Xenopus tropicalis: one gene and its partners. The protein of the gene in region 3 purifies or fractionates together with the protein of the main gene of each other region. This does not show direct contact. Links are inferred from orthologs where the notes say so. Each region holds a gene or a part of one and is shown on either strand. Other genes may lie near its edges.

Region 1 (4,367 bases), on a different chromosome or scaffold from region 3:
TTTCCTAAAGTTTGGTGTCTTTATTGACCCAATGTTTTTAAGAAAAAACATTACATAATATATATATTATATTTTCACTCCACTGCACATGTGGAAGTGCTCACTGAAGAACTACGGTTCTCTCCTAACAGGGGCACCAGCCCGGGGTAAAAGGTAATCGATTAAAGTCACTTGGGGGTGCCTAACATTTTGGCATCCCCAAGTGACTTAGCCTTTCCTTCTCCTTTAAGAATCCCCAAACTTGCAGCCAGACAGGACCAGAGTTCCTTTTTCTTCACTTACACGTGGAGGTCTGTAGCATATTTCTTCAATTAACTTGCCTGTCATTTTTATTTGACTGAAAGAGCAGTTCTTATCCAATAAGTTTGTATGTTTTGAAATGAGTGCCTTGTACTCCCTTAACTGTTTGTACGTATCTTTACCAGACAAAGGTAAATATAAACTTTCTACAAAGTACAGGGGAAGTTAATCCAGTCATTGTTTTCTGTTTCCCCAGTTTCAAGTGAAACTTAAACATAATATTGTTTTCCATGACTGAGTGCCAATGCTCCTAAAATGGCTGCTGGATCAATTCCTCTTTGGGAAAAATAAAGAGGACTCATGGAAACACATGTCTGTTTGAACTCAAATTTTTGAAGTTTTAACAATACTTTCTGCTTGAAAAATTCCGGATTTTCATTTGTAAACATTGTGTAATCATTTTTGTGACATTTTAGAAATTTAAATTTATACCATCTCGAGTTTATAAAACTGACAAAGCCAGAAAAAAAACTAATTTTAGTAAATAAACCCCTTATTGTTGCCTGTAACTACATTTCCCCAGCACCTATATAACTGAAACATTTAACACAATGTATTACATGTATACTAGGAATACACCATATCCAATTTGGGATTTGGCTGAATCCTAGCACTTTTTGCAAGATTCAGACAAATACTCTGGTGTGGATTTGATTAGTTGTTGTCAAGTTTTTTCAATAAACTTTTTTTCTTTTGTACCTGAGCGTGCAGTACTCTTCCTCTATATGTCTATTTTTTGATCTGCACCCAGGGCTGTTATTTTGGTGACGTGTGTGCTCCACTCTGTTTTTATATATATAAAATCAAAGAATGAACCAGCACTCCAGTTCTGTGCTCCAATGTGCTTTTGACTTTTGACTTTTTTGATTTTACTTCGCTATTGCAACCTTTATACATTGAAGGTTGTTACTACAATAAAATAAATTAATCTTTTAGGTTCATACAGCTAATACTCCAACTTTAATTGAAATAAAATATGTTAACAAACACTGAAACAGCCAATAATCACAAAAAATCAGTTGATTACAGGCTAATAATATACTACTAAGTTAAAAGTTAAAATGATGAGAGCTGTTGACATTTTTCCATTGTATATACAAAATTCAGACACATTGCTACAGAACTATAATCTTATGGTAATGTGCAGACATGCAGGTCAGGTCCTATACAAGTGACAGTTAAAGGCAAACTGCATGGTAGCTTTTTGTAAATACTGGGGCATAAGTGATTCAGGTGCGTCATGCTGCTGCTGTCACAATATCCCAGTATTTACCAAATATGGGAAGCTTAAACCATAGAATCACACCAGGACCTGTGCATACTTCCCAACATTTTCAAAATGGAATGAGGGACCAAAAAAATGCTGTGCCTAGCGTGGCAAACATTTTTTGCCACACCCATTTTTGTGATCACACCCCCTAAATACCACTCCCTTTTACAAAATTTGGCAGGTTATTTAAAGTTTGAACACATTTTTGTGGGTTTTGGTGTCATTTTATGTGCTATTACAGTTTGCTAAAAAGATGTACCCCAAGAAAGTGATGTGACAGAGATTTGCAGCTCATAGTCCAACTGCATTCCCATTACTGCCCCCCAACCGCAAACTGTGATTATGGCTTACCTGTCACCTATTACATAAGCAGAAATATGCTCAAGTCTTTTTATATTTTTTAAGGCAATTCTCATATATTTTACCTACAAATAATATTTGTGCAGATCGATTTGCAATGAAAGACTCCTAAGATCACCCCCTACACATTATGGTAGCTGAAAGTTGCTTAGGTATGTTATTAATCATATACATATTTTATGTATAAAACTGACCAATATGTGGTTTTCTGTGGTTACTAAGAAAAATAACAAAATCATCAACAATCATGGAATACTGATTCTCATACAAATTGCATTCCTGTTTATGTCCCACCAGTTAGAGTAGCTAAATAAACCCCTACCCCTGGCCATACTCCACTGGTGTATGAATGTGTGTTCAGTGCCCAACACAAATGAGTTATACCCTGTCAACTAGCATTGGCTACCCCAGTTACAAAGTAAGGAACAAGGTCTGGATGCCCAGAGAGTTCCTGCCTTTATTTAATGCTGAGTTTGACATCTGTAAGACTATGCTTATTGCTTTTACTTAATAGGTGCTATCAGTGTTTGCATTCCAATAATATCTGGATAATCCTTTCTTGACAGATCATTCTGCCATATTTTTACAAAAGTTATGATTTTAAACAATAAGATAGTAAAATATTTACCTCATTTGTTTATTAATAAGCTGCCTTTAAACATTTATGAACATCAAACGGCTAGCATTGTAATAGTTAACAGTAATCAAAAGGATAAAGGCCAAAATGGTACAGTAGTATAGCACACATCTTACCTGAAAGCCAAATGAGAAAGCTACAGAAGCTGGTATCTGTATTTCTGTCTTCACATCACACAGAGATCTGCAGCAAATAGGGAGGGTGCAGCTTCAGTGTATGTGTATGTAGATGTGTGTGTGCACCAGGATACTGCAAGCTGACTGCATCACTAGATTAGATGCTCCTCCCTCTCCTCTCCCTCCCTGTCTCTCTTTCAAAGGCCAAAGAGTCCAAGCAGCAGATAAATAAAAAACTGAGAGAATGCTTTATCAAGTGTTCATTGAGTATTGCAATTTGTAAAAAACAAAAATATACTGCCTCATTATGTGGCATATAATGGTTATCTGTTAATTGTATTTATCTTCAAGTTAGCTAATTTGTGAAAATTGTATACTGTAAATAATTATACAAGTAAGTTATGATTAAATATTCACAAGAGTATTATGTTCACTCTTGGTGTCCTATTAAATAAATATGTAAATCATGTGCGATAGTCTCAGCATTGTTACATCAAATACAAGAAAAATGATGATAGAAACAATTCAGCAATTTAATAACTGACACATTGATTGTGATCATTACAAGGCATGGGGGCTATGCAATATGTATGTATGGATTAAATAAAATGTAAACCTTTTATGAATACTCCTGACTTTTTGATGCTTTGTGGATACCAGCGTGCCTGCCTACTGTCTTTTTTCTTGTTAACTTATGCAATAGAAGGACTTTTTTACCTGTAGCAACCAATCAGCAGGTAGCATTTACAGGTCACCTGTTTAAAAGCCAATATCTTACTAGTTGCTCTGGGTTTCTGCACCTAAATAAACTTTGTGACTTTTGTTTCTTATAGGGAAAACGATTTCTAATATTATAGAGACCCTTCTTAACTGAGATCCTTGTATTTGCTTCCTTGTATCAACATACATTTTTTTGGCACCACATACATTTGTGTGCCTGAAATGATGCATGTGTTTTTCACACCTTGCACACGCAAGTTAATGAGCCTTCATAAGTTTGTATATAGTGGCCAAGATGGTTTAAGTATTAAGGCATACATTGTTTGTGTGTGTCCTTTTGGCAGTCCAGCAACACCAGTTCATAAGCTGTATTATCACAGATGTGTTTTGGTGTGTTTTGATTTTGTAATCAGTGCAATCCAGCAACTTGCACTTTTTATTGTAAGTTTTATTTTTCTTTGTCTATGTAAACTTTTTGTGGCACACACTTGTAGAAAAAGAAAAACTAGGTCCAGATGTAAAGGTGCTGCACCCCTAGCCCCCCCCCCCACTGCTCGCACCCAACCCCTCCTAACCACTTGCAATCCTCTCACCAACCTGTTGCTCACAGATTCTCCTGCCGGCTCTACTTCTGCCAGTCTAGTGCAATCGTTTCCACTATATATATATATATATATATATATAAAAACAACAACAAGAGATCCTCTGCACTCACCCATTATCAATATATATATGACTTTAAGACATTCGGAGCATTAAGCTACTAAGAAATGCCCTTCCCTTTAAGCAAAACAGGGATTGTTTGTCCATATATTGCAATATACTTCAAGCTGGCCAACTGCGTCAAAGTCATCCCTTCTAACCAGTTCCTACACTGACTTATGCGATTCATTAAGAATTCTACTGCTTTAATATACATTTAGCTAAGGGACTAAGTTTTACCTGCAACTTTCTTGCTTTCAAG
Region 2 (4,115 bases), on a different chromosome or scaffold from region 3:
ATTTATCTTGTATTTATTTGTATTTATTGTTGTACTTTGTATTTATCTATTATTATCTTAATAACCCCGTTTGTATTATTCTACTGTACAGCTCTGCGTACATAAGTAGCGCTTTATAAATTAAGATATACATACATACATTTTTGGGCTACTTTCAAAGTGGCTTTTGGCTAGTTTTGGGCTAGTTTTAGAACTGACTTTGGCTAGTTTGGAAAAATCTGGCTACCCTGCAGTACAGCCTTTCTTTTTCTCCCTCATAAATTTAAATGGAGTACTAATTGTAAGCTCTTTTGGGCAGGGCTCTCTTCCCCTCCTGTATCGGTTATTGATTGCTTTATATGTTACTCTGTATGCCCAATGTATGAAATGCAGTAATTCCTTGTAGAGTGTAAGCTCTTTTGGGCAGGGCTCTCTTCACCTCTTGTATCGGTTATTGATTGCTTTATATGTTACTCTGTATGCCCAATGTATGAAATGCAGTAATTCCTTGTAGAGTGTAAGCTCTTTTGGGCAGGGCTCTCTTCCCCTCTTGTATCGGTTACTGATTGCTTTATATGTTACTCTGTATGTCAATGTATGAAATGCAGTAATTCCTTGTAGAGTGTAAGCTCTTTGGGCAGGGCTCCCTTCCCTCCTGTTATCGGTTAACTGATTGCTTTATATGTTACTCTTGTATGTCCAATGTAATGAAATGCAGTAATTCCTTGTAGAGTGTAAGCTCTTTTGGGCAGGGCTCCCTTTCCCCTCTGTATCGGTACTGATTGCTTTATAATGTTACTTCTGTATGGCCCAACATGTATGAAATGCAGTAATTCCTTGTAGAGTGAAGCTCTTTTGGGGAGAGGCTCTCTTCCCCTGACCTGGTATCCGGTTACTGATTGCTTTATATGTTACTCTGTATGTCCAATGTATGAAACCCACTTATTGTACAGCGCTGCGGGATATGTTGGCGCTTTATAAATAAATGTTAATAATAATAATAATCAGCCATTCTGGTAAATAATTACATAGTTTTTCCCCTGTGTAAATCCCAGCTTGCACACGCCATGAGTTAGGAAACTCCCCGGACTGGAATGAAAGCCAAAGAATGACACTAGTTCCACAAATGACAGCTTCCCACGCTTGGAAAGTCCCCGGATAGATTACAATGAATAACCTTTATCATACGAGAAACGAATCGTCATGAATGTATAAAGAAATTCATGCATAGGATATTCTAAATAAATTGGTCAAAACTATTTTTAATTCGTATTAAACATTACCACGTCATATACAATTACACGTACTGCGCAAGCGCAGATCTAGTTTAGCCGGCGCCATGGTACAGTCGAGGTAAGGGAGCGCTGCGGCTGTGTTTCTCTGTGTAGCTTGTGATTCCCGCGTTTTATATCGCTACGGTGGATTTTTATTGACGATTAAGCGGAAGAATGCGGCGGTGGCAGGAAAACGAGAAAAAAAAATCGGACGCAAAGGCATAGAGAGAAAATGGTCGCGGCGTTCCCTGTTGGAGTAAGCTTACTTTAGGGAAGCGATACCAGTTGTGCTCCGCAACCGGGCATACCCGGGTGCAAGTAATTTCTTTGGGCACAGGTTTAAATGGACAGGACGTATTGGCATGCGTCACGCCCCGCCCCCGCTCACAAGGTTTTCTATAAATTGTTTGTGCGACACAGTTTCTCCCTCAGAAAGTAAGAGAGCTCTGTCTCCAGCCCGTCGCCCTCCCTCCCATCAGCACAGGGTGTGGGCGCTGCTGAAATAGTTGTTACGTAAGTAATTTCCTTGCTCCCTTCTGTGATTGGGCAGCTTGCGGGTTCCCCGCCCCTTCTGTGATAGGCAGCTTGCGGTTTTCCCCGCCCCCTTCTGTGATAGGCAGTTATGAACAATGCAGCCTGAGTCTATTGGCGGATTGGTTGTGGGAGCGATGTCAATCTTTTTTTCGCTTGTAATGGCTTTTGCTGTACCGGACGATGTTACGAAGTTACGATGGAGGCTGCTAATGAAAGAATTGTTAGCATGATATAACCGTGTGGCATTGTTTGTACAGTAGCTTCTAGCGATACGTGGCAGCTTGGCCCCTGCTCCACATGAAGGCTGTGTGTAGCGACCCCCTTGCCTCTGTGTGTGGCTGCCCCAAGGGTGACTAAACGGAATGTCTAGTTATTTTAACTACTCTTTGTGCTTTTTCTTTTTTTAACCAATAGATATTTTTGTAATACAGCTCTCTGGTTTAAAAAGAATGCTTGTTGCTATGGCTTTGTTAGGTTGGCAACCAGACTATGGTACTTATGAGGGAATAAAGGCAGAAGGTGCTAAAGAAAATCTAGCCTTGGGATTGATCTCCTTTTCTACCAATAAAAGAGGAATAATTGGAAGTTGTCTCACAGTATGGATAATACCAAATGGATTAATGCTATAATGTAATTGTATAGCTTATTTCCCCTTTAAACATCCAGCTCAGCTCATGTTCCTGAATGGTACCTCACAAGCAGTCATCTAATGGATTTCTGTCACCATAAGATCATACAAATGGTTACTTGTAATAGAATGACCTATTAGCAGCTTTTTTTTTTAATTATTTGCCATTCTTTTTCTGCTTATTTCAGGAAAGCCAAAGAACATACGCTCTGTGAGGCTAAAGTTCTAAGGTTGCTTTGTATTATACTTTTTTAAATTCAGCCCCTGTCCTATTAATCTTCCAGTCTGGCTTTCAAACCACTGCCTGGTTGCTAGGCTAAACTGAAACACTAGCTGGTTTCTAAAGTAAATTGGAACACTTACTGCTCAGCACCCAGATGGCTGCCTCAATTCTACACTGAAAAAAAACAAAATGAAGCCTAATTGCAAATTGTTTCTAAATACCACTGTCTACATCTAAAGCTGGCCATACACGCACCGATAATATCGTATGAAACCTTGTTTCGTACGATATTCGGTGCGTGTATGGCATGTTGGCGAGCTGAATGGTGTGTGGCGGATCTGGCGATGTTTCGTGCGACCGATGGTTGCATGAAAGATCGTCAGATCGCCACGTGTGTGGCCACCTTAAAGGAACAGTAACACCAAAAAATTTATATATTTTAAAGAAATTAAACTATAATGTACTGCTGCCCTGCACTGGTAAAAGTTTTATGTTTGCTTCAGAAACATTACTAGAGTTTATATAAACCCTGGTGTGTAGCCATGGGGGCAGCCATTCAAAAGAAGAAAAGGCACAGGTTATACAGCAGCTAACAGATAAACCCTGTAGAATACAATGGTGTCTTATCTGTTATCTGCTATGTAACCTGTGCCTTTTTTCCAGCTTGAATGCTGCCCCCATGGCTACACAGCAGCTTATTTATATAAACTATAGTAGTGTTCCTGAAGCAAACACACCAGTTTTACCAGTGCAGGGCCACAGCACATTATATTTCCATTACTTTAAAACACTTTTATTTTTTGGTGTTACTGTTCCTTTAAGGGTGAAGACACACAGAGCTACTAGAAGCAGCTACTTGTCAGACAATGCTGATCATTTACTGATAATTGTCTTTTTTTTAAAAGGTGTTTATTTTTCATTTTAAGAACAATACAACATATACAGACATTAGCTACAAACAATGTAGCTGTTAACTTTTGCAGTCAAATTAGCAAGGTACAGTACAAAGAATTGTTGTTGTTTTATTGTTTCAGCTGTTATAGGATCATATACATTTACCATAGCTTACTATCGGTCTGGATTCAATCATTTCTGTTAGATGGTAGTTATGTTTTAGATTGCGGGTCATCGCTACCCATTCTGCTATTGTGGGTGCAATAGGACTCATCCATTTCATGATAAGTAATTTTTTTGCGTAGAACAGTGTTGCCCTCATTAAGTTTCTGGGTTGATTTTGTGGAACTAGCTCGTCTATCAGACCTAGGAGGCATACTTCTGGGGTCCTGACTCTAGGTAGGATTAGTTGTTCGTTGAGATATTGTATGATTCCAGACCAGTAGTTAGCTATGTGGATGCAGTCCCATACCATATGGATAAATCCTGCGTTGACATTGTGACATTTAGGACATTCTGCATTTGGTGATCTGCCCATAGCTTTAAGTCTGGTTGGGGTGATATATACTTGGTGGTAGAATTT
Region 3 (4,081 bases):
CAAGTTGCTATGGTCTATTTACCCTAGAAACCTGGCAGTGGTTTGAATAAAAGACTGGAATAAGAGGAGTCTGAGTAGAAAGATAAGGAATAAAAAGTAAAAAAATAACAATAAAATTGTAGCCTCACAGAGCAATTGTTTTTGGCTGCCACAGTCAGTGACCCCCATTTAAAAGCTGTAAAGAGGCAGAAGGAGGGCAAATAATTCAAACATTAAGAGAAATAAATAATGGAGACCAACTGCAAAGTTGCTAGGAATGGGACATTCTATAACATACTAAAAATCCACATAAAGGTGAACAACCTCTTTAAAAGTAGCTTTTCATTTATAGCCTACAAAGGCATTTAGGGAACCTGAGTTTCAGAGACTACACTGAATATACAGGGGTGGAAATTCCCCATGACACATGGGAAAATCCATAGGGCCAGTAAAAATGTTTACCCCACCCCAAAGGCTAGTTATTTGGTAAAACCAGACTGTAAACCATAGTTACCTCTACTAATAGAAAAAAAGAACATAAAAACATAAAACATTATAAACAGATATAGACATCCAACCATAAAGCAAAAGTAAATAGGAAACGGTTTAATAGAAACCAATGACCAGTTCTGAATACCAGAGAAAAAGGGAAAGTCCTGATGACATCACATAGTATATTGGCCAATTATATCTCTCCCATGTTATCAGAAGGAATAAGGAAGTAGTTGTGAATGTTATTGGAGAGACAGCGATAAGAAGGAAGCAAAGAGGAATGCAGCCCAGGTGATCAGTGTCTGCTGTTTGGGATCAGAGCAAAATTACATAATTACAATATGGGATTAAAGGACAATTAACACCAACATTTAATTATTACCTTTCTTACTTTTTATAGTGTCTGCATATTCTGGAGCACTTAAAGAGATTATACATCATTTCCATTAGTTCCTGCCCCAGTGGAGTTTACAATCTAAGGTCCATTTCATATTCCAATCAGCCCCTGCCCAGTGAGCTTGCAATCTAAGGTCCCTATCACATTCTCATCAGTCCCTGCACAGTGAGTTTACAATCTAATGTCCCTATCATATTCCCATCAGTCCCTGCCCCAATAAGCTTACAATCTCAAGTTCCCATCAGTCATTGCCCAGTGAGCTTACAATCTCAAGTTCCCATCAGTCATTGCCCAGTGAGCTTGCAATCTAAGGTCCCTATCACATTCCCATCAGTCCCTGCCCCAGTGAGCTTACAATCTAAGGTCCCTATCTTATTCACACACATTAGAGTCAATTCTATCAGAAGCCAATAAACCTGCCTGTATGTTTTTGAATGAGGGAGGAAAGCAGTGCAGAAAACAGAGAAACTCCTTGCCGACAGTGCCACCTGCACCCTAGGGCACAGCACTGCCCATAATTCCCTTGTTGCTGTGTGCATGTATATATGCCCCTTTATATAGTTTACCATAAAATTATTTGGACTGCTTTGTATTGCAATTGCAGTCTGCCAGACTATCCTCTGACCCCAATATAATGCAGCTGGTATCTCCATTGCCAATGTGCAAGTGGGCAAAAGGGGCAGATGTTGCACCCCTGTAAATCCAGCCATTCACAACACTGCCTATGCAAGCCGACTAACATAACCTGACCACCAGTGTCCACATGACAGGCAGGCTTAAGGTGGCCGATTGTAGCTGCCGATATCGGTCCCTTAGACTGATTCGGCAGCTTATCGGCCCAAGTAGGGGCACAAACGACAGGCCTGCCCGACCGACATCTGGCCTGAAATCGGTAGATATCAATCAGGCAGGTTAAAAATTTTAGTCAGATCGGGGACCGCATCGGCTTGTTGATGCGGTCCCCGACTGAATTAGCCTGAATTCACCCGATATTGCCCACCCGTAGGTGGGGGATATCGGGAGAAGATCCGCTCACTTGGCGATCTCGCCAGGCACTTTTAGAAAATATGCACTGCATCTGCGCCACACACACGCAGTTGGGTCTATTTTTGGCAAACCTAACGCAACTGTAGTAGATGAGTTGCAATTGTGTCAAGAGAATCATCAATTTGTGATTGCAATGACCCCGTAATTCTGGAAAAAAACAGTGCACTGTGGGTAAATTCCACTTTATGCCCTGCGTTTAGGTAAGTGAATGTGACCTATGGTGTATACAAATGCTGCTACTGACAGCTTGCTGTCTAAGCTCTCCTCCATTCCAAATCTCCCTGATTCCCCCTACACTTCACATCATCAGGTACAATTGGTTTTTTAGAGGTCTTTTCATTAAAATAGAGCACAATCAGCTGACTGTCCGACATACCCTATTGCTATTCTCTACACTGCTGGTTCTGACAACTGAAACCTGCATGAGCAATGACTATACACAGGAAGGGATACATACAGCTACCGAGTGCATTTACAAATAGCTGTAAAATCAGTGAAAACGTTGAATGCATGTATGGGTTAGCTGCTTGTGATGTTCTGCTATGGGTGCTGGATCCGACACCCATTCTATTAGTATAAAACCACTTTTAATTACCTACTGTGCAGTAACGCTTAGAGTCTCCACTCACTGTCTCAGGGTCGGCTTCCTCCACCCATTCCTTGAACAAAATGAAACTGAAGTCCAGGTTCTGTCAAGACACTTACCAAAGTGTTTTTGTATCGCTTCCGGGTTCGCTTTCCGTAGATGGTCCAACCCCAGGAAATGAGGCTCACGCTGTTTGACAGTATTGTCGGAAGTGGGGCAGGAGTCCTAAACCGGAAATGAAGCATGGCATGACTGCATTGGATTAGAAAAAAATGTAAGCGGTAAAATGTGCCAATACTCTCCTGATGGCGACCTTCGGCAACATCCCCTCCTTTGATTGGCTGTTTGCCGCTTTTCTCTGTTTTCATTGGGGAACCGTGCTCATGCGGCGCACCTCATGGCGGTGAATGACGCAAGCCACGCCCATGTGGTGGCTAAACCATTCTCTGATTGGTGGAGCGGCGCCGGGGCTGGGTGTAACGCTACAGAAGTAGGCAGAGATGGGGAGCAGTCCCAGTGTGGGTGAGTGAGGGGGTGGATCTCTCACCTGGTGTCAGTGTTCCAGCACTAGAAAAATGTGTGGAAACCTGTTCTCTGTGTGTGTGTTAGTTATAGCGTGTGGGGGGTAGCGGCTACACGAGTAGCACACAGCCTGCTTACACGCTCCGCAGCATGCTTCTTTCAATGGAGAAATTACTGCCATAGAACTGCCACACGCGTCTCAATTAGAAAACCAAATCTGTTAGTGTTCTAGAGCGATGAATCCAGCTGCTAAAGCATTAGGTTTCATATACACCTGTATATATGCATGTCAGGAACCCTGAGCTATATTCTACTATAATGGGATTTTACCAGGGGCCACATTATTCTATATAAGTATCAGTGGGTGGTGCTGTGAATGACATCACTAAGTGCTGATTATAAACAATGACATCACTAGGTGCCATATCTGTATATGAATATTTTTACAGGTTAATCATTGCTCTTGTATGTGTTTAATGTGTGCGCACGTAACTCTGAAATTCATATTGGATCTATGTATATTATATGTATGTATAAGTGATCCATAGTTGGGAACTGTTCCTAATGACCAGGCACTGTGCCAGTTGCTGACCAATTGCAGCATTTTGTTATTCCAGTGATAATAAAGCAATTTTTATGGTTTTCTCTTTCATTTCCCTGCAGAGTCCTCCCTCCTGACCCAAAAACACCTATGTACCCCAATAGGCAGAGGAAGTCATATATATGGCAGCTGCCAACCCTGCTGCTCTACTCTGCCTTAAATCCTGATGTACGAGGAAGCATAAGGCTGGAACTAGGGCTAGGCAGCAGGGGCATGTGACTCAATCACAGTTGGGGGGCACAGGCTGGACTGGCATTCAGGGCCAGAACTAGGGGTAGGCAGAAGAGGCAGCTGCCTAGGGGGCAACGATTGAAGGGCGCCAGGCAGGAGCCTCTCTTGCCTACCCCTAGTTAGTGCTCCATTTTCATTACCCCTGCCGCGGTGGGGGCAATGAACTTTCACATCGCACCCCCCCGCCAAAACACACGGGGGGTGCAATGCAATAGTGCAGGGACTA

Evidence for each region.
Region 1: the proteins of ikbkg (region 3) and cntn2 purify together in Homo sapiens (affinity purification with western blotting, with the first as the bait; 3 studies listed by BioGRID). This does not show direct contact. The link is inferred for Xenopus tropicalis from reciprocal best matches to the Homo sapiens genes IKBKG and CNTN2.
Region 2: the proteins of ikbkg (region 3) and birc2 purify together in Homo sapiens (affinity purification with western blotting; 6 studies listed by BioGRID and IntAct, with this or other methods). This does not show direct contact. The link is inferred for Xenopus tropicalis from reciprocal best matches to the Homo sapiens genes IKBKG and BIRC2.

The regions. Positions count from the first base shown.
Region 1 is NC_030678.2:64,715,048-64,719,414, reverse strand, and holds the start of cntn2 (contactin-2), read right to left. Parts: upstream 2,808-4,367; 5' UTR 2,684-2,807; intron 1-2,683. UniProt on the Homo sapiens protein: In conjunction with another transmembrane protein, CNTNAP2, contributes to the organization of axonal domains at nodes of Ranvier by maintaining voltage-gated potassium channels at the juxtaparanodal region. May be involved in cell adhesion.
Region 2 is NC_030678.2:162,216,142-162,220,256, reverse strand, and holds the start of birc2 (baculoviral IAP repeat-containing protein 2), read left to right. Parts: upstream 1-1,308; 5' UTR 1,309-1,332; intron 1,333-1,661; exon of another isoform or gene 1,662-1,766; intron 1,767-4,115. UniProt on the Homo sapiens protein: Multi-functional protein which regulates not only caspases and apoptosis, but also modulates inflammatory signaling and immunity, mitogenic kinase signaling, and cell proliferation, as well as cell invasion and metastasis.
Region 3 is NC_030684.2:25,684,878-25,688,958, reverse strand, and holds the start of ikbkg (NF-kappa-B essential modulator), read right to left. Parts: upstream 2,820-4,081; 5' UTR 2,621-2,819; exon of another isoform or gene 2,511-2,620; intron 1-2,510. Other genes in the region: g6pd (glucose-6-phosphate 1-dehydrogenase), read left to right, coding at 3,002-3,023. UniProt on the Homo sapiens protein: Regulatory subunit of the IKK core complex which phosphorylates inhibitors of NF-kappa-B thus leading to the dissociation of the inhibitor/NF-kappa-B complex and ultimately the degradation of the inhibitor.